Styela clava: one gene and its partners. The main gene of each other region encodes a partner of the protein of the gene in region 2 in a complex. Links are inferred from orthologs where the notes say so. Each region holds a gene or a part of one and is shown on either strand. Other genes may lie near its edges.

The links.
Region 1: actin-related protein 2/3 complex subunit 2-like (region 2) and actin-related protein 2/3 complex subunit 3-like share a complex: the UniProt entries of both Caenorhabditis elegans proteins name them as parts of the arp2/3 complex. The link is inferred for Styela clava from reciprocal best matches to the Caenorhabditis elegans genes arx-4 and arx-5.
Region 3: actin-related protein 2/3 complex subunit 2-like (region 2) and actin-related protein 2/3 complex subunit 4 share a complex: the UniProt entries of both Caenorhabditis elegans proteins name them as parts of the arp2/3 complex. The link is inferred for Styela clava from reciprocal best matches to the Caenorhabditis elegans genes arx-4 and arx-6.

What each region holds. Positions count from the first base shown.
Region 1 is NC_135257.1:4,067,633-4,077,579, forward strand, and holds actin-related protein 2/3 complex subunit 3-like, read left to right. Parts: upstream 1-5,740; 5' UTR 5,741-5,771; coding exon 5,772-6,314; 3' UTR 6,315-7,238; downstream 7,239-9,947. UniProt on the Caenorhabditis elegans protein: Functions as a component of the Arp2/3 complex which is involved in regulation of actin polymerization and together with an activating nucleation-promoting factor (NPF) mediates the formation of branched actin networks.
Region 2 is NC_135259.1:12,804,873-12,815,798, forward strand, and holds actin-related protein 2/3 complex subunit 2-like, read left to right. Parts: upstream 1-5,661; 5' UTR 5,662-5,697; coding exon 5,698-5,771; intron 5,772-5,847; coding exon 5,848-5,995; intron 5,996-6,176; coding exon 6,177-6,290; intron 6,291-6,386; coding exon 6,387-6,502; intron 6,503-6,653; coding exon 6,654-6,747; intron 6,748-7,275; coding exon 7,276-7,402; intron 7,403-7,769; coding exon 7,770-7,971; intron 7,972-8,282; coding exon of another isoform or gene 8,283-8,298; exon of another isoform or gene 8,299-8,333; intron 8,334-9,001; coding exon 9,002-9,023; 3' UTR 9,024-9,760; downstream 9,761-10,926. Other genes in the region: uncharacterized protein LOC120338534, read right to left, coding at 7-119, 663-738; uncharacterized protein LOC120337963, read right to left, coding at 9,806-9,883, 10,291-10,475. UniProt on the Caenorhabditis elegans protein: Functions as actin-binding component of the Arp2/3 complex which is involved in regulation of actin polymerization and together with an activating nucleation-promoting factor (NPF) mediates the formation of branched actin networks.
Region 3 is NC_135255.1:6,166,119-6,177,684, forward strand, and holds actin-related protein 2/3 complex subunit 4, read right to left. Parts: upstream 5,471-11,566; 5' UTR 5,335-5,470; coding exon 4,828-5,334; 3' UTR 2,224-4,827; downstream 1-2,223. Other genes in the region: polyhomeotic-like protein 3, read right to left, coding at 1,375-2,181. UniProt on the Caenorhabditis elegans protein: Functions as actin-binding component of the Arp2/3 complex which is involved in regulation of actin polymerization and together with an activating nucleation-promoting factor (NPF) mediates the formation of branched actin networks.

The DNA of each region.
Region 1 (9,947 bases), on a different chromosome or scaffold from region 2:
AAGTTGTATTCATTCTTCAAAATTGCCGGCCGACTCAACTTCGCTTCAATGGCCGTTTCTATTTTCTGGTTAACATTTTTCCTATTTGCCCTACTACGCATCTCCAAGCTGTGCTAGAAGAACAAATGACATTGTAGGATTGATGCGGAGACATTTTACAACGTCAAATTGGCGCACTATAAAATCTTCGAAAAAATGACCAAAAATGGTTCTACGTTGTGTTCGTGGTCAAATTTAACGCATCAGATAGTTTTATGTTCTCAATTGCGTTATATATTTAGGTAGCATATAACTTAAAGTTCAAAATCCACCCTTCGGCTTCATTCTAGCCCTTATAACAGCTAACTTATTTGATTCGGTACAACAACACGACGAAAATTTCCCATAAGACTCCATTGTTTCGCGTTTTCCAAATAGGGCACAAGATGGCGTCCATGAACTTGTTTAACATTAGGCAAGTTGGTTGCCGGCCGTTGGTCCTGCCCGTCCCCTTCCAATTATATTTTATGAATGTTTTTTCCATTTATTGTAATTGTTACATATTTTTTGATATATTCGGAAAATAAATCATTATCTCTCTTCCGTCAAAAACCATAAGAAATGCATTACCCGCCAACAAAGATTGGGATAGGAGTGTATCGTCAAAACGAGGAAAACTTCCGCTAAAGACAATGTATAACATGTTGTTATGTAAAATCTATGCTTCCGCACTCTATAATCTATGTTTTTAGTTCTGAGCTTTGTGGGAAACGGCCGCGCGTACCGGTATCAGTAAAAACCTTTTTCTATGTTTTGACTATATTAACAATCTCCTTGTCGTCTTTGCGGTTTTGTTAAATTTTGTGCTGTATTTTTGACAAGAGGTCAAAATAGTTTTTGTTTATTTTCACTGTTCTGTCAATGTTCGTTCGCAGCGCTCCTTGTGGATTTTCACCACGCCCTCGAAAAAAGAGTGTGCACTTTCATTTATATTAATTTAGCCCATTATTATATACGAATGTTTGCTGGCGAATTCGAAAGTTGAGTGTTGAAAAAATTTTGTGCCTTCTATAAAACGAATGTTTATCCATATTATTTTACTTTTTATTTTCAGTAACAAGACATACTAGCAGAAACATAAACTAAGGCAACCCTAATGGCAGTTCCTGGTTGGTATCATCTTCCTGTGTGGTCGGTTTGTTGCAGGGCTGCCACTTTAGATGTTTTATAGCTAGATCTAGATGTTTTTTTTTCAGATCTAGATTAAAATTTGGAGTATAGATGTTAGCTATAAAATCTTTGAGATATTTTATCCAGTGGGATATGAATAAAGGGATGTCGGGATGTGTATAATGATATTGTACCGGTAATACTGTAATATGTGAATGAATATTATTTCATTACTTAGAACAGTAGAAGTAAGTTAAATATATTGATGTAAGATTGATAAAACTCATTTATATTATAATTATCTACCGGTACCATATGTAATTAAATTATTCGAATTAAACATGTTTAGAACAAGCTGACAAGTGAAGTTTTAATTAAATAGAAAGAACCGAACGGCGCTGGCCCGATGAGTCAGTGCTTAGTACCTTAGTAGTAGTAGTAGGCTATTGCAGTATTGTATTGTTGCCAAGTGGTGAGAATCCTAACGCTTTGCACGATAATATACGATATTTTGCCATGTATAATACGCACTTTCATGGTCAAATTTAGTCTCACAAATATGGGGGTGCGTATTATATATTGGTCTAGAAAATATCAAAAAATATTAATTCTCATTTTATGCTTCAACTGGCAAGTAATTGTCACATTTTATAATCTTGAGTTCTTAATTTAATGTGGCAAATTCTGTTAGAATCAGACCATGCTTGATTCGGTAGAAGCATACCCAGTTCAACAACAATTTAGTGTTGATGAAGGCGTAGAAAAAATGATGAAATAAAAGTGATAAAAACACGCTGTTGTACATCCGTTAACTGCTGTCATTGTCTGGTCTATTTCTGTTGTTTCGCCGAATCGGCAATACTTTATCATAATAAATACCATATGAGTGACCTACGGCTTCTCTTTGTCTGAAAACACGTTCTGATATCAGGTTTTGTCAGCTTTTAAAGGGGGAGGGACAAATAACTTTACAAGATACCTCTAATGTCAAATCACATCATGATTGGCAGATGTTTCATAGGCAAATACATAAAACATATTACCAGATATATATATAGTTAACAAAAGGCAAGCAGACAGAATGCTTGAAATGTCTGGAACAAACACCTACAAGGCAAAAAAATTTTGATATGCATATTATGCATGGAGTTTGAAAAATTCTGGTTGAAAATGTACTAAAACCTGGGTGCGTATTATCTATGGGTGCGTGTTATACACAGAGAAATACGGTAATATATATTTATTGGTTTCTCGCCTACAATGCCGTTGAGAAAACAAAATCTTTCAGACTTGAAATAAAAACCAAGGAATCTGAAATAACAATGGGGTAGTGTAAAAGTGCCTTAATGTGGTTGAAAGCTGATCGAAAAATATAAAACTATCAGAGTGAAATTCCCTCCAAACTCTTTGGAATCGTAAAATAATTTGCCGCATCATCCTAAACGTTTTTGGTAATTCATATGCGTGTTTTCTAATTTCATAAAATCGAGTGCCATAAAAAGTCCCTGATAGAAGTGTTGCATAAGTAAAGCCCAAAACTACACCAACAGAGGCTTATTCGTTTTGTTTCAGAAGTTTCTTATAGCAGTACGGCACACTATACAAATCGGGTGACATTGTCCCGTTTCAGAGAAACCCATTTTACAGATGATCAGAAACCCCTCCGACGTCTGGACATTGTTGTCCCTCAATATCGATAATAATACAGTATAATGAAGTTGCGCAAAATACTACAAAAAAGCGCAATCTAGTAACATCATCATTGAATTCCTTGGGAAAAAATAATCCGATTTACCAAAGAAAAAAAATTTTTACTGTAGCATTCGAGAGTTTTTAGCAAAAAACGGTAATTTTGGTCATGTGACGGCCGCGATTAACTTATTATTATTGAGACAAGCACGGTGTGATATGACGCATCTGACGTGGTCCCAGATGCCCCTCGTTTGTGAGACGCATAGAGTGTTTGTTTTATTGAGCCAAATGGAGGGAAATTCTTGGAATTTGGATAGTGTGCTGTACTGTATAGATACAAACATTGATTAAATATCTGTGAGTGTGACCCACTCTCTTCTGTTCCGCGATAAAATTTGACCCATTCATTGAAAAAGGTTCACCAATCCCTGGCCTAGAGCTTGCCAAAGTATATCTACGATCGCTCGAAATGGCATCTGCGCTGACGATAAAGAACTAACGGCAGCGATCTCTCACGTATCGGGATGGTTGCGGCTAGAAAACGAGAGAAATAGCTTGCTCAATTTCGACTGATCGTCTGCGCATCTTGGATGACAGTTCGTAGAGCTTTAAGGGCCTTTTACGTCTCTGTGACGGTAGTTTTTGGATGACACAGTCAGGTGGGGGTTAGGGGTTGACATATGCAAAGATTTTTATGCTACGCCCACTAGAAGTACCTTAGGTACGAAACTACACGAGACCCGGATTATGGACGTATAAACTCTGGCAGTCTGGGGTTGACATAAACTGAAAAAATATAATAGTTACAGCTTCTAATCCTTATTTACCAACTTTGCAGAGTTCTTTTAAAAGCTTATATTTCCAGGTTTAGAAAGCACTCATTTGCAAGACATTAGGACTCAGTGCTCTTCAACCGGGTATACGGTCTACCCAAATGTATACCGGACTATAAGTTGGGTATACAACCGATAATGGGTATACGAAGGGTGTACAGCCTAAGTCAGGAATTCTAAACTCTAATTACTGTTATAATGAACGAGAATATCGGTCGGAGACCGAATACTTATCGATCAAAAGTTAGGGTATCCCCAAAACAGAAACTGCGGTTTCGATCCATCCGCTCTTACTCCGTGTAGCGACACCGTGTGTCCCATCACTAATTAAATAATAACTCGCTAATTATACGATATAGTTCATCCAATATCAATAGGCTTCTGCTCGGAGATATGATGAATGAACATGCAAAATTTGGAGCAGATTCAACCTCGCTTTCGTGAGATATCGCGTGCATCTAACAGACAGACAAATACCTATCAACATACTTACCGATCGAGATCGATAAATAATAAAATATTCAAGCGGAGACAACAATGCAAACGCGGCGCACATTAAATATAAAATGTCATTAACGCAAAGAACCGACGTGAGGACATTGGTACATCACAAATTATATAGATAATGCAGTCACATGTCTGGGTTCGTGATTTCGCTGCCATGCCATGCACACTTGCACATTAGATTGCATGATGATATTGATATTTGTAAGGTATACAAAGCTATTGGAAAATTGTGAAAAGTATACCATGATAAAAAAGGTTGAAGAACACTGCATTAGGTTATCAACTTTAATAATGCAAGGATTGATATGTCTTTGTAATTACTCAATGCCGAATGTCATCTATCTAAGCTATTCCAAGCAACTTCAGGCTGTTAATGCAGCAATCTCTAAACAAATTGCTTCTGCTTTATGAAACAGCAAAAGTAAACAGAAGACTGTCATGGTGTAAGTGTGGAGCAATAAATCGCATTCCACATCCTATAGTCAAATAGAGCTGTCTGGTTGTGTATGCAAGCAAGGATATGACGATTTCTATTCTAGGGTAGTCGTTCAAGTATTCAGGAATCATGAACACAGACTTCTCACCAGAGCCTCACTACCTCAAAGAATGGTAAAGGTGTTCAGTTATTTTAATATTTCACAGTAAATATTTCGACCCATAGTTGCTCACTGTAATAAGCGTTAGGAATACGCTCACCATCTTATCTGTGACTTTGTGATGATGACCCTGTGTTCACAGGTTGAAATCCTGAAGACCAGCGACTCCCAATAGGTGCGCCGATTTGCTAAGTGCTCTGCCTGTCCGCGAAAATTAATAGAATTGTGTTAAACATAACTAATATAGGATTGAATATTTTACATATTGTATTTTCATTGTTTCTTAGTTTGAATGCTGTGTATACTGGAATATGAATTCACCTTTCTATGTTGTTTACTTTCCTTACGTAGTAGTGTCTGCCTCTGTTGTTACGTAACAATAAAGGTGAATACTACTTGCTGCAATTTTTCGCGAGCTGCAGTTTAGTTATTTTCTGAACCGATTTTAGCGAACATGAGTGATTTTTATTTTCTGAACCAAGTTTAGCGAAAATGAACGATTTTTTAGTATTTCAAGGGAAAATCAGTCAAAGATGAGAAAAAGGAGTTGTCCTTTTGGCTTTATATATTAGGCCTACATGTTTACAAACTTTATAAGGCATAAGGTAAACATTAACGATCACAAAATTGAGTTTTATTTAAAGGCAGCAATTTTTTTCATGTAATTGCGCCGTGAGTTTTTTTCTTAATAATTTGGCTCCACCCCACAAACAAAAAGTATGGGAATCGCTGGCGTAGTTTAAGTGACAAACTGCAAGTTCATAACAAAGTGTGATTTCTGTTCACCCTATGTTTTTGCCCTCACACCTCTTTGCCTTAAATAATATTAATTGTATTGCTCACAAAGTATTTCATGAAATGTAGTTGGTGGATCTAAAAGTCATTTGAGCCAGAGTTCAATAATAAGAGTTTAATTTCTCTTGACTTTTTTCATTACAATATTCATACTAATAAATTAACACTTTCCTAATACTTTTCAACAGGAAATATCATTATGCCAGCTTATCACTCTAACCAAATACCTGCCAAGTCAATTGCTAATGTAGGTTTGCTGCCATTGCGATGTACCACAAAGTTTCGAGGACCTGCTCCTAGAGCCCCTCCAAATTCTGAACAAGATGTTATTGATGAAGCGCTGTATTTCTATCGTGCAAACATATTTTTTCGTAATTATGACATCAAAGGAGATGCAGATCGCACTTTGATCTATGTTACCCTGTATCTACAACAATGTTTGAAGAAATTGCAGAGAACCACTACCAAAGAACAAGGCAGGAAAGAGATGTACAGTCTTGCTGTGTCTCCTTTCGATATCCCAGGGGACCCAGGATTTCCTCTTAACGCAATGTATGCAAAGCCTCAATCTCGACAAGATGCGGATCAGATGAAGGCATACTTCCAGCAGATTCGACATGAAGCTGGAGAAAGGCTCCTGGATAAAGTTTATGATCCGAGCACTAACTCGCTAAATAAATGGTGGATCTGTTACTCCAAGCGACGCTTCATGGACAAAAGTTTGTCTGCACCTGGCCAATAATGTTGCTGTGGAACTTGGACAACAATTCACTATAATGCATATTCCAGAAATTAAAAAAATTATGTGTATGAACTGTATGGGCATACAATACATCACATGGTTATGTCCGAACAATGACTAAAAATTTGTTCCACTTGTATAATCATTATATCTATATTGTATCAGTGTTGAGTGCAAGCCGCTGAACATTTAGCCACAGGTTATCAGAGTTTCAATAACTTTTTAAAGCTAGTTACTGCACTGCCGATATATACCATGAGTCGAGTTGCAGTAATTTGCATTAGCAATAGTGAAGTGCTGAAATAAAGTTCACATTGTTTTGCGATGAACTAATGCTTTTTTGAAACCCAAACTGAGATTATCATTGTGTGACTTGCTTACTCATACTTCAGAAATGTTTTGATTCAATGACCCAAATTTATTTATTCAAAGCAGTGCCCCTTCATTTACCGCCTGTAGCATGCAAAAGATGTTGATACTCTTTTATTGCTGCTCTCAAATTTTGTAATTTGTTCATGTCATGATTATATGAAGTCATTTTATGTCAAAGGCATATGTAATGATAAATTGATACTTATATTCGTGGCAAATGCTGATTTTTCGGGGCTCCCGAAGTATGCGAACCAAGATGGCGGACATCGGAATGTAATATGTGTACTAGGTTATGGTTAGGCCATAATATTAGGTATAAATACTACGGGAGGCTCTTGGCTAGTCTTCGAACTGATAATAGGACTAAAATAAGAAAAATTGTAAAAAAAATTATCGCTTAACCCTAACCTGTTACCCATGTTACGTTACGATGTCCGCCATCTAGGTTCGCATACTTCGGGAGCACCGATTTTTCTAATGTTGATTTTTTTCAATACTCCACTTCAATATTGAAGATATATTAATCATGAATAAATAGTAAATGGCATTCCATCCACTATTTTATTATCATGAAATTCACAGAATTCAGTGACCCGAAATCTTATGAATGAAATTTTAGAACAGACTACAGATTGAATGGAAGGTTCGTATACGCCAAAGTTTTTTTTAAGTCTGGGTGACGTAGTCTAAATTTTTTTCAACAACGAGTCTAGAGTTGATTTTTTTTCATCCAGCAGTCTAGTCTTAAATTTTCCCCGTCCCCTGCTCGTTGCCGCTAAATATTCATTTTTTTCACTCCAGGCAATTATGATCCTTATTTTAAAGAACATAAACATGTGAATAAATAGATATAATTAAAATTAAAACAGTAAATACCGCAATTCCAGTAAAATCACAGCTAATTCGTTTATTACTCAAGATCCGTATGTCAGTGACAAAGCACAGATAGATGCAGGCGCGGTAAATATAAAGATGTAATATCGCAACGCTCCCAATGATAGAAGTGAAACAACACCAACAGCTTTGGATATGACAGCGGCCCTTAGGACTCAAAAAGGGGTATAAAATAAATTGGCTATAAAATGATTAGTATTGACGTTACAAATCAAGGTCATAAAATACAAATATTTAATAAAGTAATATAATATTAAAGTAATATTAAAGATTTCTGGACGAATACCCTTTATCAATACCACGAATAACGTTTTTTATTTGAGGACATATCGCACAGTTACTTAGACTAACTAACCCAGTGGTTCTTAAACTTTTTGAGCCGCGCCCCCCTTTGAAAAGTTTCATGAACTTTGCTCCCTCCCTTTTTTGTTTTGGAAAATGCTTTTGCAATGGGCAGGTTGCTTTATAATAAGATGGCGCTGTAAGAGTGTTGGTCTCGCAGCGTCATTGCTCAGATTGCTTAGGCATAAAACGCATCGGGGTACAATTTCGCCTTTCACTGTCGTATGTATAAAGCCATACACAAATACTAGTCATCAATATTCTCTTTTTTCCGCTCAGTTTGCAATACCTGGTGAAGTCAACTCAAGTTTTACGTAAAATTAAACACGCAATAAACGTATGCTCTTTGCGCTTTAATGTATTTTCTGCATATACGTTTACGACACGTAAAATTTCAATTGTTCACTTCACTATTGAGCAATGCAAAAATAATTACTGTGTGTTAAAAATAGACAACAATTACAGACTTCTTGGCTTGCCTAGCGTCTCTAAAATTCACTACCAATATCTTCGGACAACCACTAGGTCAAAAATACAGTTTACACAATGGAGAAGTGCAAATGAATTTATGTAGATTTGTAGCATAAAAAAGCCGTTCAATTGTTAATAGTAATTATGCATGTGGACTTTTCCCGGCCCTTGAGCGCTGAAAAATAAAGTCCCCAATGACGTTTGCGATTGCATTTTGTTTAAATCTCCGATTGTTTTCGCTCTCATTCATCTCAACAAATATTTTGTGCGGCGAAAACATGATAATTACTTTTTGCGTTCTCGCATGGAACCATGACACCTGTGGGGAAAACGAGATAGTTTTTATTATATATATAATCATATCAGCGACGAGATTATAAAGATATAATAAAGAAGTGAATCCGCAACCAAAAATTTATTGATGGAAAAAGCGGCATTATAAAATACTAAAACTAAAACGGAAAACACCAACGGGTTTTGTTATGGGATGGAACTCGACAGTTCGAAAACACTTTCTTAGACATCGCAAATCTCGTATATTCCTTGTTCACGTGGCACACCTGTAGTGTGGATAAAGCAATCTTTTAAAATATTTATATCGATCTAGTGGCGTAGCCAGGGGGGGTGGTTTTACGGGTCGAACCCCCAACCCCCCCCCCCCCCCCCCTCCCCCCCCCCCTTTTTTTTTGAAATGTAAAAAAAATAAAATCCCCCCCTTTTGAAATGTAAAAAAAATAAAATCCATTTTCTGTATCATAGATAGCAATTTTCCGTAGCTTGAAATGCTTTTTAGACCCCCAAGACTAACAAAAAAAAATTCAGAACCTTTCAAAAATTTTGGCTACGCCCCTGTATCGATCATGGATTAAATGTTTTATTCAACAGGAAAACCAATACATATCCGTTGGAAAAAGTCGGCTATTTTAACGAGTGGTGTAATCTCAACAACTGACCCAGGAGTCGTACCGCGGATGTTATGGGGCGATGCATATGTATTTCTGATTTAATAATATACTTTATATGTAATTTCATTGTACTAAATTGAATATATATAGGCCTACTTTCTGAGATTTTATACCAGATCTTTCTAACGACAATAACGAATTTGCATGAGCGCAATATATCAAAACTAAATATTGTCGGGCAGTTGATCTCACATCCTTATGTTCAGGGAATGACGTGGTATTTTAGATCTGTAATGAGTTTATTTTGTCATGAGTCGCCGCAACCGCGAGCTACCTTGAACACAAATAAAGTAAAATAGAGAGACATTTCGAATTCTTGTAGTTGTCATAGATTGAATATTGCGGGACAAAAAAGGGGTATTATACCGTGAAAAAGCAGGCATTTTTTAACGAACCGAAGAACGGAGACGTTGCATGGAAATTTTCGATTCCATCTTGTGACCTCTCGCGTCCCCCCAGTTTAACACCACTGAACTAACCGCAATCAAGCTTCACTACCGCCGACGCATCAATAAATATTGACCATTGTGACGAAAGATTTGCTGAATTGTCTGACTTAAATTCAAAATTCAACGCTACAGCGATTTTC
Region 2 (10,926 bases):
ACTTACATTACATTTAATCTTGCAGTGTGTACCATCAAGATATTTCCCCACCGATTCACGAGTGGAACAAATCAACATGCCATTCTGAATGTTCGGAGTGTTGCAGCTTGCAATCTTTCCTACATTGACGTATTCAAATTAAAAATAAAAATTGCAAAAATATAGAAATCTGACTAATAGAGTGATAAAAAATATTGAAACAAAATTTTTATTGGATGAATTTCATTAATCCGTGTATAGTTTGCATTTTGAGAACCACGAGTTAAAACGCGGGAACGAATAATCCTCGCTAATGCTGTGTTAATATTCGATTTCACAATTCACATAAAGCAGTAAATAACAGTTTCACTCGAACGTGTATAATTCACCGAGTCGCGCCAGTTGATTCATTCTCAGACAGATATTTATGAAATTATTGGAAACGTGGGATTTTCTCCCAAGTCAATCATGGCATTATTTTTAACAACCCTTCGGTTTTCACCCAAACTTCAAAAAAACTATATAAAAAACGGAAAATGTATTCAACTTTAGGAGTAAAATGAATAAACTGCGAAACAAGCAAAAATACGATCTTCAAGTATGGTAATGTAATGATTACCCAGTGATTTAAATAGAACTATTTCTTAGTTTCGGTAGTTTAAAAATTCAATAGACACACTCACTTGCATCCGACGTCTTTATAGCAGAGTATAAAATGATGTAAATCCATAAGCTTATACATGAATGTACTACCTTCATTCTGATATATATAACCTTACTAACGTTTCTTCGCAAATTTTCAAATGGAAATATTATTTATATTTTTATATTCACCAAAATCAATTTAATAGAGTTATGCGCTAAATTTCAACGCACCACAGTTCGATATCTACAAGAAGCAAGCCCAAATAGACACTAAATGGGTATATATATCTGCGTTGACTTATAAACTTAGATAGTATGACGTCACTATTTTCGTCAGTTACTCGAGCATCAAGTTTGCGAGGGCGGATCGAATTACAGATGTGTCGTCTGAATATCAAAAAATAAACGTGTTATCTGATGAGACGTGACCTAAGTTTTTCGAAGGATACTCACCATTTTAAGTTAAATGGTTTCGGGTAGCTTGTGCTACCCTCGGGGTGTGAGATGTAAGTCGGTGTACTTTGTCATTGAATACTTTGTCATCACCTCTAACGATACGCCAGAATACTAGGACCGAGTGGGTTCCCAATTAGCATCGATACAAGTTATTGTGAATGCCAAATTTTATTTTCAATTGTCTGATCGGAATTAACCCGTTAACTGTCTAATATAGGCTACTCTGTATGATTCCGACTGATTGAATGTTAAACTCAAATATCTAATTTTGTTCTGTTTTCACTTGGTATATTAGGATAGGATAAGTAGTTCACTATGTTGCGCTTTGCCATTACTGATAAAAAGAATTGTTTATTGCTCTTGATATTTTATTTGATACGATGGAAAGCAAATCGAAAAAAAAAAAATTTAATAGGGCTTTCCGTCCCGTATACATATTATCTGTAAGTTAGGGCCGTTGTATTAGTCCAAAGTCTGAGAGTTTGCTAACCAGCCAATTCACGAGGAATGTCTCTATTGTATTTATTTTATTCGGTCACAGTGTGGATCTAATTTGAAATAAAACAACCACTGTCATTTATACAAAAAGGGGTTTTTAATTTTTTAAGACCCGAAATATATTTGGTTAGCGCGCCTTATAGGTTGGTGGGCACTAATATTGAACCTAAGACCTGCTATGCGAAAATGTGTCACGAGAAGACTTCCGCTTACTTCTGTAGATCATTTTCTGATGAAATATTCTCATGTATATATATAAGGAAATTTGATAGGAAATGTTTTCTATATACTGTATATGTATTAATAAAGTATATTGATGTAAGAACGTGCACGTGCGATTGAAGGTGAACAAGAATAAATATATATTGTCCTCGACAGACGTCTCAACAAACAATATATATGATTCCTGAATTTAAAAAATATTGTAGCAATAAGAGGATGCATTTTCCTCATTAAAAAAATGAAAATTAAATGTGCTTGCATTTTGGATCGAATAAAACTATACACTGGTTTATTTGACAGATGACTGTTAGTTTAGTTTACAGCGATCTAGAATGCAAATTAATTACAATAATATAACAATGAGCTCATTAAAAAGTGCGTTATCAGCAAATCTTTTGTGATCACGATGTTGTCCCCACAAGCCAAATTAATCATTGTGCCCAACATGGCTCAGTCATCATAGACACGCCACTGTTTGGGTATCTCTCAAGTCCATGCACCGGAAAAAATAACTGGCTTACTACTCCGATCACCATATGATTAATCCGTCTTATCGGCTTTCTTTTCCCCTTGAATAAATATGTAAATCCTCCGCCGCTGGGGTAACATTCTCCGCGATTTCTTTGCCTTTATATCGCACGTGTTTGTTTCTATTCAATATTATAATTCATATTATTTCATCATTATTCATTGTGTGGTTTGTTGTTTTATATTGTAAACTTTTGAATTAAATACGCCCTCTTTTTCAAATATAGCACCCAATTTCAACTGTTTTGAAGCTAAACCAGTACCGAAATACTTCGCTGTCTGTTGGTTACGATGTTTCATTCGCGCTACGTAATCCCTAGGAAGATGAACAATTCCCTGAAACTTTTCCCCAATAAGATGGATGAGTCTTTCGTGACCCCTCATCAACTGCTGTAAGTCAATGTTCACCGTTTCTATTTTTCATGTGGATTATTGCTTTATATTGATTCTTACATTGTGAAAATGAATATCTGTATCTATAATTCATATATATACATGAAACTGAGCCTCCGTTTTTCCAAAAAAACGTATTATCGGGACATGACATTCATAATATATACACAAAATCAAGTTCCGGGGGAGACGCAAGACTTGCGAAGGCATGAACGAAATAACTTCTATTCATTTTGCATTCATTTACTACTGGGGGCTTTTGTGATAAACAATTGCTAATATGCAGCTGAATAAAACGATATATTCTCATACACGGGATCAGTAGTAATAGTTTGAATCCATTAGCATAAACTCACTCTGCATCTAGGATTCTATGTCCAATAAGTATGAAGTTCAATTCCGATCCTCTAAGCAGGGGTGGCCAACACGTCGATCGCGATCGACCGTCGGTCGTTTCATCCTGAGTGGTCGATCGCGCCTGATCTTGAAACGTAACAAAAGACGTAAAAAATTTGTTTTAGACCAATATTCAAGCGGCGCCTATTTTGTGTTCCGAAGAGGCGAATACTGTGCGTGTGCGAAAGACGTTATGTCTGGCGCATATTGGACAAAGCTCGTTTTTACGTAACAGTTTACAAGTTTCGTCACTGATAAATATAAGAAACAAATGGGCCGACTTAGACCAATGAATGTTTCACTTCGGTATTATGTGGAAAATTTTGTTAATTCTGGTGTATAAAAAGTAATATTGGTCACCGTAGCTGGACATTAGAATGACCATATTCAATGTTAATTTATATCAATTCTGAGCGTACCAGACAATTCCGGCGATTCTGCGTGAGCGGTAATACCTCCACTTTATTTTTTTAGGTGATGTCCCCAATTAAAATCGCATAACTTTCCTTAATATCTCCATGAGGCAGATAACGTCAAAATTTGACGCATACGTCAACGCAAACTACGATGAACCCTTTCGGTAATTATATTCACCGCACTCCTAGAGAATCGTCTCTCATTGGGCAGTGAAAAGGTCTATGTCATAATCAGAAATAAAGTAACCCAATGAGCGATTTGACGCCTAAGTTGAGAAACATATAATAGCTTTGCAAAGTCCAACTAAACGATTAGGATTGTTAGGCCTAGAACCTAAAATTTAGTGTAAACTAAGTTCAGTTCAAAGTGGGAGGATTATTAGAAGGATGGCACTCGATAGAAACATCTTTGGTTAGGGTACCAAAAGTACAAATAGTACAACAGAAGTCTTACCATATATCACTTTCTACTTTATGCCCTTGTTGTTGTTGTTGTTGTTGTTGTTGTGAGAAATAAATAGATTTTCTAAGCATTTAGTCCTGGCGCTACTCTTATATGAGAGCAGCGTGTACACGCTTCGTATGACATCCGTTACAATTATTTTGCCAGTGTGCTATCATTTTGGTATTTATAGTTACAGTGTTCCAACCAACGACCGGTTCCAACCCAATATCTAAGAACAATTCCAAAGTATTATCCTCTATAAAGTCGAATTATGTTTTGGATTTGATAACGTGGTTCCACTTGAGTGGTTCCTTGGGAGAGGCTTCACCTTCCGTCTCCTTGCTTAGTTGTTGCAGTGTCTATTCGGCTGGTTGGACATCGCGAGTGATTGTTTGCGTATAATTGAAAGTGTAGCCTTAAAATTGCCGATATTTACCGCACTGAATTATCAGTTTATAAAAAATAGTTTTGTGACAGATCCGCCAAAGTTTACATTGCTTTATACAGTAATATTCTGGAGTACCGGTATCACAAATTTTTCACTTTGATTTTTAATACCCTGATAGCGGTACCAAACAAAAATAGAAGTCCCGATTTAAAAGTGTATTGTGTTTCTAGTACATATATTTCGGTGGAGTTGTGTAACATAGGAAAATAATGTTTGGCATTGAACATTTTCTGAGTTTGATATATCTATATACTGATATACCTGTATACAGATAACGGTAGCAGTTTTTCTGAAAATATTGCACTTATTTCGGTATTACTTCTGATATCTACGTCGTAATACTGTAATAGATGAGACTTACATTTTTTTCTATAATCCAACTGAAACTTGAATTGTATCTTATCCTAGGGCTAAACCAAGAACAGAAGAATAGGGCTGTAGCAGTAACAAAGTGATGAGCTGAAAAATTGGGGTCTCATGTAGTTTCTTACCTAACATACTTCTAGTGGGTGTAACATGACAATTTTTCTACATATCAATCCTAACCCCCACCTGACCACACCATCCAAAAATTACGTCACTACGACGTCACAGTGACGTAATAGAGCCCTTCAAACTATGTGAACTGTCATCCAAGACGCGCAGACGAGAACCCGAAATCGAACAGCCATTTCTCTCGTTTTCTCGTCGCAACGATCCCGATAGGAGAGAGGTCGTTGACGTCAGTCAGTTCTTTATCGTCGGCGCCGATGCTATTTCGGGCGATCGTACAAGTATTTGGCAAGCTCTATGACGTGATTTTGACGTCGTAGTGACGTAATTTTTGGATGGCGTAGTCAGGTGAGGGTTAGGATTGGCATGTCAAAAAATTGTTATGCTACGCCTACTAGAAGTACGTTAGGTACGAAACTACACGAGACCCAAAAATTGTAACGAACAAACCTAATTCATTGAAATGTGAAAATAAAAATGTTTTTTTGGTACAATGGCATAAAGTTCTTCATGACATACCAATGAAAATTTAACCAACTAAGGAATCATAGTAACTTCAGAATTCAAAATCGAGAAAACATTTCACATTGCATTATGTATAAAATTTGCTTGTTAATAAAATTTAGAATGAAACTTTGTTAAGCTATGCTTCCTCAGCTACCACGCTCCTATGCCATTAGGATATCAGTATTGTGTGTTGATGGTTTTTGTTATGTATTAACAATAACTTTGTCATTTGGTTTAGTAATTTAGTAGAATTTGCTCAACATTTCTCCAAGATGATTTTGCTTGAAACACAGAATCGAATAATATCGGATACTTTGACATATAAATTTGAATGTGCAGTAGCAGGGTAAGCTTATTTTTTAAGTTAAATTATTTGTTATTTTTGAAGTTTCAGTGTTACATTTTTATTATTATTTTTAAAGGTCTAAACCAGAATCAATTGATTCAACAATTGCCGATTTTGATGGAGTGTTATATCATATCTCGAATCCAAATGGCGATAAATCAAAAGTCATGGTCAGCATTTCTTTGAAATTTTACAAGGATTTGGAAAACCATGGAGCAAAAGAGGTACATTACTTTGCAGTGAAAGAAATAAACCTTTTTGAGAGTGTGGTGAATAGTTTGGGACCTTTGTGAACAAGACTTGTTATATTTTATGAATTGAATTATGTTCGTTTCACATTTGGTTGTTTATATAATATTGATTACTAAGTTATTAAATACAGTAAATAAAATTATTCTATTTCAGCTTCTAGACAGAGTCTACGGATGTTATCTGACTTCACCTGAGTCTGGACACAGTGTCTCACTGCTCTATGATCTTTCGAACATTCCTAAGGATCACGCCAAAATTGTTGCAGATGTACGTTATTTCAATTCAAATTTTTTTTTCAATTTTCAGATGTAGAATTTACATTGGTACCAGAACAATTGACATTCCCAGTACTTGTTTTTCTAGGCTGCAAGTTTGAAAAGGAATTGTTTTGCATCTGTGTTTGAAGAATATTTTGAAGCACAGGTACAAGGGAAACAAGTGAAAAGAGCTGTCGTCAACTACAGAGATGATGAGACGATGTACGTTTTGAGAAATAATACTCGAATTATACTTTAAGTCTAATTTTTGAAAATACGCCAAACTAGATATTATGGGATATAGTATTTATGTTAGAAGACTCATAATACAGTATAAATACGATTTATTTATGTTTGCTTGTATTTTATTCAGGTATGTGGAAGCTAAGAAAGATCGTGTTACAGTGATATTCAGCACTGTTTTTAAAGATGATTCTGATATCATCTTTGGAAAAGTATTTATGCAGGTAATTAAATTAACATATGAACCTAAGTATAGGTAGGCCATATTATGTAGAATTATATCTTTGGCCATTAGAAAATAATAAAAGCCCCATCATTTGCTGCTTGTTAGGAGCCGTCTTCACAGAGAGAAATTGTGACAAAAACACCACATAGCATATTAGCTATTTACGAGTTTATCCACACTTTTTAAGTAAATATTGAAGCAGGAAGATATTTGAGCGCTCCAGAAGTATGTGTACCAATATGTAGGTAACTAATTTTATTCGCCTACATCAAGTTGTATAAAGGGACTGAAAACTATGGGCAGGGGGTATATTCGTTAAACAGACAGTCCCTGAAATCGTAATAGAACTAAAATAAGGAAAATCAGAATAAAACTATGGCCTGACCCTAACCTGGTACACACACTATGGGAGTGCCGATGTTTGACCAAGTATATTTGGATACATGTTCCTGAATTGTACTAGGAATCAGTCAGGGATTTGTATTACTTAAACATGATATGCAGGCTGTATGAAATATTGTAATAGGAATTCAAGGAAGGCCGCCGAGCAAGTGCCAGTGCACCCCAGGTTCTTTTCACTCATAAAGAACCTCCACTGGAATTGAAGGGACAGGATGCTGCAGTTGGTGATAACATTGGATACATTACTTTTGGTAAGATTTTGTTTCCTTCTGCTAAAATCTACTAATTCCAATTGTAGTTAAGTTCCAATAATTAAAACTAAATCAGATATTGTATTATGTAACCCACTACACAGGAAATTTATTTGATCATTACAATTATAACATAAAGCCATTTACCCCTCAACATGGCTGATCAGCTTCTATATCAATGCCCAAATTTTTCTAGGACTAGGACACTGCTAAGCATTCTTTTCATCCTTATTTTTAAAGTTTAAAGAGGCTGTCTGAGTGTCAACTGTCATTATGGATACATAAGTCTACAATCGCAATTCTTTTTCTACATTTGCTGAAATCAAATATTGTGTAGCTGCTATGTATGTTTTATTTGTATTTCTAGTTCTGAATACTCGACACACCAACCCTGCTAATCGTGACAATACAATTGATCTCATCCACACATTCCGAAACTACTTGCATTATCACATCAAGTGCAGCAAGGCTTACATTCACACAAGAATGCGAGCAAAGACTTCGGATTTCCTTAAAGTTCTCAACCGTGCCAGGCCTGACCAAGCAGTAAAAGAGAAGAAAACAATGTCGTAAGTTAAGAGTGTATCTAGAAATGGGGTGATTCTATTACCGGTTTATTTTATTTTGTTGATTTTGCTTACATCAAGATTTAATCAGTATTAATATACCATAATCGCATTTTAATTTTTTTTTTTAGTAACAAAATTTATGCAGTTTTGTGATTAATGAAAAATTTTTTTATATTATTTTGAGATTTTTATTTGCTTCTTTGTTTTTATTGTTGAATTGTTTTTAGTAGCAAATTTAATCATAAATGCTGATTGCAGGCTTTTTTTTTTTAATTGTGATTTTATCCCTAATTTTTGTTTTGCATGAACAGAGGAAGAAGTTTTTAATGTCAACGAAATGCACTATTTTCATTGTTTGAAAGGTTTGTATTTGCACTTTTTTTCTGGAATTATTTTGCTGCTTAAAAAATCCTAATGATTACATAACCAAGAAATTTTTAAGTTGATTTTGTTTTCCACATGTTGGAGTTGTAAACATTATGCTTCTGGGATAATCGGACTGTGAAGTCAAAGTTCAAAAAGTGACTCAGAATTCGATTTCCGGCTCGGGACTACCGTATAAAATTTTACCTACAATAACTTTGCTGTTTGCTACCTTTTTTATTTCATTCCGAAATCTTGACTGAGGACTCTTAGCATTCAGAAATCTATAGTTGGATAGTGTCTGTGGGCAGTGAAATACATTTAGATTTCTGGTTTCAAAACCAGGAAAAAGCACATAAAACTATCGAATGAATAGGGTGGCCATTTCCTGGGAAAAGTTGGACTAGCAATTACAAAATAATTGATAAGCCAAACTACCTTAAAAATTAACACCCCTTTAAAAATATGAACTGAGTTTCCTGTTTTCATATTCATTAATACATGTACGCACGCGTTGAAATGTTTTGGTTATAATCAGCAATCTCATTTCATGAAAGTATCAAGATTTTGAAGGATGCATATTGTAACAAATTTAAGAAAAGATTACCAATTCCTACTGTTGCGAAAAAAAGTATATTTGTCATTAATTGCTTCTTTTCATATTTAGGGGCAAGACATTCAACCGTTGATGTGTAATGATTAAACTACATTTTATACATATCTACATATTACCCAAGATTCCAAGAAGAATAATCAACATCTTTAAAATCTAATAATTATAATCTAATCAGTGTAATATTGATTGAAGATTTTTCCAATAATGAATCGAACATTTCGTGGCTATGCCTGGAATGCTTCAACATCAAAATGAATAACTGCAGATTATTTTATTCCATTATGATGATCCTTATATATAGGGAAAAGTTTGGGTACTCCCGAAATATGGTACCAAGATGGCGCACAGCCTGAAATATGTGTACCAGGTTAGGGTTCAGGTTGTGCGTCATCTTGGTACACATACTTCCGGAGCGCCAAGGTTTGTACTACATAGCTAGCTATGCCAACATAGTTTAACTTCCGATGTAAAAAATAACAATACATTTAGCATAAAAACAGTATGGCTGTCTACTACAGGGTAGTTGCATAGGTTTATTGCTATATATTGGAAGTTTACGTTGGAGTCTTCTTCGATTTATCATTTATTTTATATTGTATTGATCATGCGCTAATTCTGCTGCTTATGATTGTCTTTTGCCCACTAGCACAGATAATTTAATGTGATTGTTTGGGAATTGTTGAGGAAATTTATTATTTCGTAATGAGCTTATATATCCTGCACTGCATTTAATATTATTGTGTGGGAAACTGAATAAAACATAACAATACTGAAAGTTTTATTCGCAAATATATTCCAAAAACAAACAAATTTACATTTTTTTTTATTTCATGTAGAAACTTTGTAGTTCAGGTGTCAGTCCCGTGAAATTGATTGTCCCTCGTTGATAGCTTGTTTAACCCAAGACTCCTCTCGTTGCCTTTCATTTAATTCCTGGAAATAGTCGATGTATATTAAGAAGCAAACAACTGCAGGGTTTCGCCCAGCTTTGGGGCTATTAGTTATAGCAAGTATGCGTACAATTGAAATTCATGTAACTCGATAACTTGCAAGCAACGTTTTTTTTATAATCATCTGTCATTTTAAGAAACTCGTAATTTACGCTCCACTTCAGCCCTTCCATAGAGGTAGATAGTAGTTGAAACTAATTAAGTTATTAAACTTAGTCATTTTTATTTTTTAAAAGGATACCCCAACACTCTCTTGTGCCCGAGTTACTAATTACTACAAGCATTGAAATGACTAATTTATTTTTTTTTGGCGGGCAACGTTTGCGTTTTAGATAAATAGAATAAAAAGATGAAAGATGCTTCCAGATAAATATGTACAGTCCCACTTACATTACGCAGTTGCGCAATCAATAGGCACGGCACAATGCATCCCAAACAGTTATCGTCTGAAACGAGTCCTGGTATGGTATTATTTTGCCTATAGATTGTCTTTGCTTTGCCAACAGAATGACTCGACCCGTACCACAATGGCGAAAGAAGGCATAGCAGTGTGTGTCTGGATTTTTCTCCCAAGCCTGGAAGAAGTGGAAAATATTTAAAATAGAGAACTTCTGACTAACAGTAACATCTTTACCACACTTCCCTGTTTTAATTTAAAGTGCGACTCTACTCTTATCCCTCATCAAAGCAAATAATTGAGATTAAAGTAGTAGCACACATAAAAAACAGCAATGTAACGGAGATAGAAAGACTAGGAAAGCGACCAAAATCTTATCTGAGATTGAAATGTAAATTTATTATCACGCAGACGAAGTCAACATTTTTATAAACATAATCTGATAAAGAAAATTGCTTTAACTTTTAACAGTGATTTAACATCGTTTTGTGCGGGTCGGTGTGCATGACTGATAAAGATCATCTAGCTAGGGCCTAGGCACCCGACCCTTTTGTGTATGTGCTCACCATGGCATATTATACTACCGTAGAGAAAGGCAAATAAGAGTAAATATATAAAATATAAAAAGG
Region 3 (11,566 bases), on a different chromosome or scaffold from region 2:
ACTCCAAAAACGAAACTATTTGGCAGTGATGGAATGTCTTCAAGTAGCAGACTTGCCATACAATTCATGTGAAAGACGGACGGTTGGTGCCTGATGAAAAAAAAATGATGTGAATACATTTCAAATTTATTCACTTATAATCATATATTTTGATTTACACACATTTCAAAGAGAACATAGTAAATTCTTCTCAACTCTCAGCACCAAAAAGCGAAAAATAAAAAAATGAATATAGGAACGAAACATTGTGATCTCCATAAGATATTCGAATTATTAGGTAGCAAAAATATTCTATTTTATTTGAATTGATAAAATAGTTGAATATGATGAAAGTGATCTGATTATGGTATATATATATATATATATATATATATATATACGAGTCCAACCGTCATTACTTAAATATACCAAATACCTTCCATAGCAATGACAATTGACAATGACGATTGAATCAATATCAAATTAAATAGGTTCATCACATATAGAGTCAGAGAATAGAAGAAACCTTTAGAAGCAAATAAGCTAAGTGAACATGATTCTCATAAATAAACCGACAATCAAAAAAAATCAAAATGATTGTACAAAATTAGTACCAAGGTTCTGTGACGTTTTTTAAAAAAATCCTTTCCAAAAAATAGTAATAAAATAAATAAATAAATGCACTCATACTCATTTTAGCATTCTGAATTACGGTAATCACAATCACAACTCATTGATTGTACAATTAGCAAGGTCTGGACATATTCAAGTACATCATGTGACTCATGTCATCTTTTTTAGTCTTGTGAAGAAATACGCATTTTTATGAGAATAGTTCAGTTTATAGGTTTATATGTTATGTGGTACAGCATAACGTTTTTCCAAATCTGAATGAGTTTTCTGAATATCATGCCTGTCGGGCTGTAACATCTTATGCCTGAACCAGGAATTAATTTTATCAACTCCGAAATATATGAACGGATTTAAATCAAAGTAGAATTTCAAGTTTCTTTGGCATTTTTAATAGAAGTATAAGAATATTGGATCAGAAAATCAAAAATTACAATTCTGATATCAAATCCCATAAGTGTTTGCTAGGGTAGATAATCACAAAGACATATCACCAAAAAAAAAATATAGTAGTATTATGAGAAATACAATGCTTTGCAAATTGCAATAAACAAAAAGAACAGCTAACACATATGAGCAGGAAAAGTAAATAGAGAAAGCTTAAGCGGCATTTTTACAACATATTTTTAACTGCACAAAAATGTACGGTCATCTATAATTCAAACAAGAGCAATGTATGGACTTGAGACAATTACGAATGATGGCATCTGAATCCATGACCATAGTTAGACCAAAATCTACGACTATAAATAAATTTACATTAAGTCATTCTTGCAACTTATTAATATGCGAACACAATTTCAACGCAGGTCCCAGTTTTATATTCAAACTTCCGATTAAATGATCTTCTTTAATCAAAAGCAGAGCAGAACCATCAATTTCTTGATTTCTAAAATCTTTTGCAAAACTCTCTGAATCTGGCAAAGACGAAATGTAATCACAAACATTATCTACTGTCCACTTGCTCGGACTAAGAGTGACCATTTGACCATCCTCATCTTTCACGTGTGGTAAGTAGGGAATAACGGGGGAAAGAGGTGGAGTGCTAAAACGATGATTTTTTTGTCTCGGTATTTCAATGGATTCCTCATTAGAATCTTTATCAATTTTATTTGCCTTGGTTCGAAATCTTCTCGCAACAGCAATATTATAACGACGACAACAAAGTAGAGTACAAAAACGAGACGAGCGATGACCTTTTCCACGTTTACCGCAATATTCGCATCTATGTACTGTATCTAACAATGCTTCATTCGTTTCCTCAGGTAAAATAGACTTTCTATCTAGCTTGCGTTCTTCTTCACGATCTTTAGCGATAAGTTCCTGCTGTTTCCTCCAGATATCTTGGAGTTGTTGTTTTGTGAGTAAAGAACCCGTGTCTAATGTAAATGGAGTGTCTGCTTCTTCAATAACAAAACCATCGATGAAATGATATAACACATTTGTATCTTTTTTCTTTCTGTTACGTCCATCAACTAATATTGAAGTTTTTCTGTTATTTTCTATATCTCCATTCGTAAAATTTGATTCATCAATGTCCATAAGTTGGTTTTCATACTCTATTCCTTTCATATTTCAATTTTGCTTCTTTTATTGGAATACTAATTAGCAGACTCTGATTAATATAAAAAAACATAAATGCACATTGGTTAATTAGAAATATTGTCCAACAAATATCAAATTGAAACTACCCAATATCACTTATAAATGCTACTACTATACGTTTACAAATGGAAATTACAACCAAACCAATACACAATTTTAAATATATTATTCAACAAATAATAATTTTCACCTCCCAAAAGCATAGCTGATCATTGTTAGTTGAAAGATCATAATCATAAAGCAAAAAAAAATGCAGCCCTTCTTGTATTTGTCAAGTTACTAATATGCTCGAGAAACAGATTGTTGTCACTTGAGGATTATATTCGGCCAAGCCATGTAAATATAATCGCTAATGGTGTGTCATAAGTAAAATAGACCCAGGCTGGTTACACAATCCATCATTAAACAATTTGCTTTGTTGATAATTTGCATTACAGATAAATTTTGAAAATGCACAATTTTAAAGTTGCCACAAAAAATTTACAATGAAAAACGACATTGTTCAATCATCAATGAATTAATCAGCTAGTTTCAATGAAAAAAGAAATAAGAGCAAGAACGATTGTTTATCACATAATTAATGAATACAGTATATCATGGAATAATATCATTATTACCATTTAATAGTAGAATATGAATTTGATATCCAATAATAAATTTCCCAACTTTTTTCCAACTAATTGAATTTAATATAACAGCAAAACAAGATTTTGAATGTAACTATTGTAATGCAGTCATAGATGTTACATGGGTGATGTTTCCCTAATCAACATGGAAAACAGGGGTTTTAGTACCTGAAAAAATTGCGATAAATTCGAAACATTTACTAAAATTGATTACATCAGCTTGCTTAAAGTTAATGGCATCTGAGAAAGATGTTTTTCAAAGATCCATCAATGACATAAAAAAAAAGACGATTTCCTAAAATTTTGTAATTTTTCTGTAAAATCCAATTTTATGTCAATTTTTACAACAAATAGAAATTATTCGAATGATTACCTATCTATATTGAAAATTCCAAAAATATACCTTCTAGTACATTAAGTTTGATATCAGTTATGTAACATCCAAAAATGATAGCATAATATGTTACTATGGTAACGATTCCTACCCTGAAAATACTGGCCACAAAAGTTAACATAACTATATTTGGTCCTAATATTTAACAACAGGATCCTAAGGCAGTGCCTTGAAACAAACAAAGGGGGAACATAATAGAGCTGAAATCTAAAAATTAAGTCAGTCAGAATCTCAATTGGAAAATATATTTAAAGTTTTTGTTTCCACAATCAATTCATTTCGCCAAAACTCTGTGCAGTATATATGGATGAATGCTGGCATTAGAGGTCAGGGCTACCGTTGTGAAAAATTCAATGAGGTGGCCTGGTCAGATGAGAACAAATTACCATATATCCTCGCATATAAGCCGAGTTCAAAACTAAAAAAAAAGTTGTCAAACTAAGGTGTCGGCTTATAAGCGCATAACTCTGATCGCACTTGAACTAAATGACATTTCATAAATAAATACCGCAAACTTAAACTGAACGATATTATCATTAGCAACACCAGGCTAACAATAAAACCGCGATAGATACTAAATAACATTTAGAAGCTATTTAATAGGCTGGAAATGCAAAAACTTCCCGTTATTCTCGGTCACTGTCAATGGAAACAATTATTTATCACACAATTTGCTGTGGTCGCCCAGATATGTTAAATATTCTATAATAATTGTAAAATACTTTCAATCAAACGTCCACGACGTGTTATAAGTACTGCAAGTCGGCGCTGATATAAATCCTTTCATGTCGGCAGTAATTTAGTCGCGTCACAATGGGCTGTCTTCGATTACGATAAAACATAAAATATAATAATCGAAAAATGTTTTTAATTAAAACGTGGACAGGGGCGCTAGAATGTGTGTGCGATATTCAATATTAATATAAACACAAAACGATACTAGAAGGTAGCGAATACCGATATTTGAATATTATTAAATTCGAATTGAACATCATTGACTGTTATACGTGCATACGGTGTGTTACGATTTGTAGGGTCAGCTTATATGAGAATTTTTATAAATTCACTATTTTAAAGCGGTTTTTGTGGGGTCGGCTCATATGCGGGGATATAGAACATGGGAGCCAACCAGACAAGATAATAAAATAAGCAGCTGGTTATTTCAATTATAACAATAAGCATCAATTAGATATTCTGCATATAGTAATAAAAATAACCTATCCACTCTTAAGATCGTTGATATATATAGTTAGACATGGGAGAATCAAGCATTAATATACCAAGCATATGAATTTTATTTAAAGAGAAAACTGAAATTTTTTGTTATCAAGTTTTACCTTTATTTGGCTTCATCAAATTTAATCAGTGATTCAAATCATTGAAATCGGAGAAAAAATATCATTCTCGTAAAATTGATATTGACTAAACACTTTGGATATTATGGACTATATCATAATTATTATACTGGATAAATATAATGATAAATTTAAAACATCTTTCATAGAGAAAAAACCTTCGTTTCAAGGCATTTTCCAGTTCATTCATTGTAGATGCAAAGAGTACTTGAAATTCTAGTTCTACAGCATCTTATATTCAAAACTTCTTTAAAAATTCTTCAGCACAGATTCTGGCACGTGCGTTGACAGCTAATTTCATTTCGCTTATTTCTTTGTCAATTTCTTCCATAAAGTGAATGACGAAATCAACCAATTTATGCTTGTACATTTTCTCTGTGTGAAAATTAGTAATCAAGAAACTAATGTCGTACCCAGCGACTGGTTTTCTACGTAGAACATCGAAACTTTCAGCTCTCATCATCATAAACCTTGTGAATTTGCTACAAAGAATTTGTTCCAATTCGTCAGCTTGTTTTATGGCGATGCTGACGCGGATTGAATTGATTGAAGCTTCTATCATGACTTTTTCTTTTTCGTTCCTCGCAATGACCAACGGCGTCATCAACAATTCTTTACTGCTACGAACTTCGACTTCTGGTTTATTATGCCTTTCCACGACTTGAGAATTGAAATTCTGGAGACACGTAGCAGCTGTTAAAGTAGACTTTACAGCATTCAGGTATGGTTTGAGAGTTGTCGACATCTTTTTTTTTCTTATTAATAATAGAAAACTGCACTAAATTTGTAACAATATTCTAATATTAGATTGTCAACAATCTGTAATGAAACGTAGAGGTTTACTAGAACAATTGAACGAAGACGAGCATGTTGTAATATTTTAGGAATCAAATTGAAAAATAAATGCAATACATTGTACAAGGGTATGAACATACAAAATTGTGACTAAAAAATCACCAAAAAACACAACGAAACTGTTATTATCAGACTTCTTTGAATGCTTGAAATATAGACTCATATCAAAAAACAGACAGAAATGGAAAATTAAGTTCAAAGACAGAAAAGAAACCTTAATTTTAGCGTAATTTATGATCTACAATAACAGTGTGGGTATAAAAATAGTGTGACATCCCCACCATAGACTTACAATTTTATCAGTGAGAATATTTCCCTGTTAAATCTGTCATGTCAATATACCATATTTTTATTACTAATAAAGAATTTGATATGGTTCTACACAAAGTTTGTCAAATCTAAGTACAGTTTCCAAACAAAAATATTTAAACGAAATATTGAAAAAATTAAAGTAACACAAAACTAATATACTATTGTCGACTATCATACTCTATTTGTTCCATGATATAAAACTACAAAGGCAGACAACACACTGACAACATAAAACATGTGATGCAAATGTAATGATTCAACTAATGAAATTAGTTCAGATATAGGTATCAAAAGAAACTATTGCCTGGCAAACAGAAACAAAGCTATGGCAAAACAAGCAGACAATAAGTATAAAATTTCAGTCAAAAAAATTTAATATTTGAAAAAAATTTTCAACCTTGAGAATGAATGCCATATAAATCTTCAAGTCAATCATTTCTAGGCGGTGGTGGCTATCAAATCAGCAATAAATAAGCAGAAGCTGACATTGAGATATTATTTACTGATTCCAAACTTGGCAGTGGAATTATAATAACAGGCAGAGCTAATCCATTCTGGCAATAATATTAGAAAAAAAGAATAACATCGTAAACAAAATTTGTGAATCTATTGTCATACATGATACAAAAAAAATTCGAAAATTAAAAAAATCTTTCATTAAAATAACGAAGTAGACGTAAAACTACATAAATTTGGCTAAACAGATTCGATAACAAGTTCGTGCTCCATTATTTCTCTCCATGGAAGTTGTTCTTCTATGTTGAATTCATCTTGTTGAGACCTAATGGGCTTTCTCGGGGCTCTTTTTGGCTTAGATAATGGTTGATCTTCTTGAAAATAATAGCCATCTTCCTTATTATTTTCATTTTTTTCCTCAGGAATATCTTCAAATAAATGAATTTCTGATAATTCTGCAACTTCTATATTGTCAGTGTTTGGATTAGTTTTAATTGCTCCAGTTTTGGATGGCTTCTTACGCCAATGTGAGTCTGTGACGTCTAAAATTCCATTCCATTCTTTTGGACCATTATTGCCTTGATAAAATGGTGATACTTTTTTGCTCCTTCGTGTTCTCCGAATTTGGTGACTTATAATAGGAGAAACATCTTCTAGAACGTCAGCGACAGGATTAAGTAAGTTTTCAAAACCAAACAAATCTTCTGTGTCGCTGTCATCAGATTGTGATATGTATCGAGGCGTACTTGCAATTCTAGATTTACGTAACCCTTCTTTTGGAGTATTGACTTCCTTCACATTGCTTGAAAGCAATTCCAAATTTGGGGGCGATACGGTAGAAAAATTCTCACCCTGATCGGTTCTGGTTGATCTATGAGCAGTAGCAAGCCATGGTGCAAGTGTAGGGGTGCTCTTTGTTTGATCTGGGCTTTTGGAACTACATTGAAGCGTACCTCCGATTCTAGATTCACGTAAACTCTCTTTCGGAGTATGCATGTTGGCTTTCTTCATATTACTTAAATGGGATTCAAAAGTTTTGTCTCCAAATTTATCAAAACTTGGGGGTGATACAGTAAGAAAATCTTCCCTTTGGTTGGTTCTGGTTGATATTTGGGAAGAAGAAAGCCATGATGCGAGTGTAGGGGTGCTATTTGTTTGAACTTCGCTTTTAGTCTTGTTAATTTGTTTTGTTTGTTTATTTGAGGAATCGCTTCTCATTTTTCTAGTTTTCCCAGTGCTGGTTTTTAAGGCTGGCCTATCGGGGTAAGATAAATTCTCATGGCTCTGTGGTTTCCTCATATTTTGAGAGGTATCCTTGAAGCTTTTCGAAGGTTTATGTTCCCCTTCTAAAAGAGAAAGAATATCTTCAGCCGAGTGTTTGCGTTTAGTAATAGAATTATGGGTGTTTATACTTTTATCATATGAGCTTGAACTGGAGTTATTTAGCTTCTCCATGTTAGGGATTGGTTTTTTATGTTTCGTATATTCAACATTTTCATCGAGCACTACAGAACAGGGGCTAATAGGGGAAGATAATTCAACGTTATTTGATTTTTCAGTTGAAGATGAAAGACGAGTGTTAACTGAATTGTCAGAGGAATTCGATTTATTGTTCATTTCTGAAGAAGCACTCGTTTCATCTTTTAATTTTGAAGTTGTCTTTCTCTTCCGTTGAGTTGTATTTCCATTTGAAATAATTCTCAGATTTCTACCATGCCTTTTCTCACTCTTATCATCTTGAGTTGACTTGTGTTCCATTTCCCTCGTAGTTTTAAAATTTTTTTTATTTGTTTCATTATTATTTTTTCCATCTCTAGGTCTGCGGCGGAGTCTAGAAACAACAACACAATCCTTTGTATCATCATCTTTTCTTTCATTCTCAATATCAATTTTTTCAGGTTCTTTCACCTTCGAGTTCCTAGTTCTTCTTGAATACATCTTTCACTGCAGTGTTTTATGATCATAGATAGAGTATAGATTTCGTAATAACATCAACGTTACACTCTGATACAAAAATCAAAGATATTGGTGAGTAATTAAATACTGAAATATGGGAAAATTCAAATAAACTACTGTGCAGTACCCAAGGAGGCCGATCGGTAAGACGGTTTAATCATATGGCATACCACAACTTGATTACTGGATCACCGTGCCAGTACATATCGGATATGATATTACTTAGGTTACCGTATAAATGACCGTCCAACATAACTGGGGTCTGGTATAGTTTAGTACCACATGCACTTCTAGTTGGCCTGACTCAACAATTTTTGCATATGCCAATCCTAACCCCCACCTGACTACGTCACCGAAAAATTATGTCATTTCGACATCACATTGGCTTAATAACCCCACCACAAAGTATGCTGATGGTCGTCCAAAACGCGCAGACGATCACCCGAAATCGAGCGAGCTATTTCTCTCGTTTTTCCGTCATGACGATCACGATAGGAGAGAGATAGCCGTCGTTAGTGAGTTCGTTATCGGCGGCGCAGATGCCATTTCGGGCGATCGTAAATATACTTTGGCAAGATCTATGACGTGTTTGTGACGTCGTATTGACGTAATTTTTGGATGGCATAGTCAGGTGGAGGTTAGGAATAACATATGCAAAATTCGTTTTGATACCCCAACTGGAAGTACTTGTGGTACTAAACTATACTAGACCCCATAACTGTTTATTTGGGGTCTCATGTAGTTTCTTACCTAACATACTTCTAGTGGGCGTAACATGACAATTTTTTTACATATCAATCCTAACCCCCACCTGACCACACCATTCAAAAATTACGTCACTACGACGTCACAGTGACGTAATAGAGCGCTTCAAACTATGCGAACTGTCATCCAAGACGCGCAGACGAGAACCCGAAATCGAACAGCCATTTCTCTCGTTTTCTCGTCGCAACGATCCCGATAGGAGAGAGGTCGCTGACGTCAGCCAGTTCTTTATCGTCGGCGCCGATGCTATTTCGGGCGATCGTACGAGTATTTGACAAGCTCTATGACGTGATTGTGACGTCGTATTGACGTAATTTTTGGATGGCGTAGTCAGGTGAGGGTTAGGATTGGCATGTCAAAAAATTGTTATGCTACGCCTACTAGAAGTACGTTAGGTACGAAACTACACGAGACCCTTTATTTGTATTACCTACCACTAAGTACCGGTAACAGCCATACCGTACTGCATTATCTAGATTTTGATTTCAGATTTATAGACTACAACCATTGGCAATTTTTTAAAAATTATTTTTTATTATGCAACAGATAGGCTACCGGTACCGGTAGTGAAAAGTTTAATTAATAAATCTTTATATCCTCGCACCTATCACAGTGTTATTTATGACAATATGATCATAAGCAAAATAAACAAAACGCTTTTTTTTTTTTTTTTTTGCCAAATTCAAATCCATTGCCAAATCGGATTTATACAAATGATAGTTTTGGACTTTGGTGTATCCAAATAATCAAATATATATTTCAATATTATTGCATGAGGTCCAAATTTTATTTTATTTTTGTGATGTAATTTAGGTGATTTCATACAATGAATAGGTATACAATGAAAAGATAAGACAAATATTAAATAATTCAGACCAGATACATTTACCATTTAATTCCATATGTCTGTATGTCAGTATGTCCATGAAGTATGTTCATTTGTGCATGAAGTTGAGACATAATTTTCCCATTATCATCAGTTATAATATATAATATAAATATCAATTAACCCATCATTAGCATTTTTATTTAAAAAAAACAAAATTTTTGAAGAATTAGATAAATAATCAGAAAAACACCTATCATGCCATAGGTGATTTCTACATTTTCCATCTATGTAATCATTTTACACAAATTAGTAAATACGGTAATCTGTTACATATTGTCATGAGATGGCCAGTGGTTGCATTGGAAACTTGATATTATAGCATGATGGATTTATTTAAAACCTCATCCATGTGTTGATCTTGCATAATATCATTTCTGCTTCCACTGTCCATCAAACCCATGCACCCCAATACCTTACATTTAAAAACTGCTCTCAAATTGCATTGCATCCCATAAATACCATCATATTTTATAGAGTTTCTATATTGCCAGATTGCTGACTTGCCACAAATTCAGAAATCATCCAGATTTGTTTCCATTATGTATGATTTTCCAGTTGAGTTCTTTATACTTATTGGGTATTTGTATTTGCCAAAATTTTGTCCATGGGATAGGTTGGGTAAGATGTAGGCTAGTTTGTTTGCGACATACCGGTATATTATGATCATGAATTTGGTTATCCAATTGGTTTGATTTTAAGCGCTTATAAATATTTTTGGTTGTTAATTCTTCTGAAACCATATACCGGTAACGATCAATTTCTGTTCTTGCTGGAGATGTATTTTGATTCTGGGCGAGAATTTCTTTCCAATTTGTTGGAATGTATCGCCAAATGTTGCGTATTTCGAAGTTGCATTTTCTATTCTATGCAATTTTCCTCTCATATGATATATCTCTACCTGGTCTATATAGTAAATTTGAACGCTTTAACTGCTTGAATAACTCAAAACAAAAATTAGATTTCCGATAGGCGGGTAACATACTCAAGTTTCAACTTAAGTCGATATATGTCCAATCCCAAATAGCCTACTTGTCGTAATTCATTTGCGCAAACATTTCCAAAACCGGCGACCGTGCGCTAAAGAAACCGGCAAAGCTGGGCTGTGGCGTAGTTCCGCCATTGCAAATCTGCGCAGTTGCGCCCCATGTGGCAACTAGTGGAAAAATCGATCCATTTCCTTATGGACCTTTCCCCGAGCATCGACTTCCTTGTTTACTTCGTGACATTCGCCAATCAGCAAGATGCAAAAAGTGATGTAACAATGCCCCCTTTTCGCATCCGCTCAGACACTTTTCTCACTCAGACAGATTTTCAAGCGTGATTGTAAACATTACCTCGTTTTCGCGTTTTTGAACTCTATTCGTTAGTTTTCAGTTGTGTTTTGGGAACCTAAATAAAAATCAGATAATTCAATGATCACTCTGTCTTTCTAGGAGTTTTAATTTAATTGCAGTAATAAAAATTAGTGTAGAAATAGCTGTGATAGACTAGCCTGAAATTCTTTACCTGTACTTTTAAAAAACAGATTGTTGTATGCGATGAATCATAATGATGGTTTGAAACACATACCCCATTTTACAGACGCCAACTCGCAAAAGCACTCTTAAAATAGCCTTGACAATTTTGCAATGGTAAAGTATGGGGGAGAATTTTCCGAGGGTCAAAGGTCGGGGAAAGGTCCATATTCAACAGGGCCAAATACGGTGTGTCTTGTTCGGTCGACTACCTGGGCTTGAATATGATG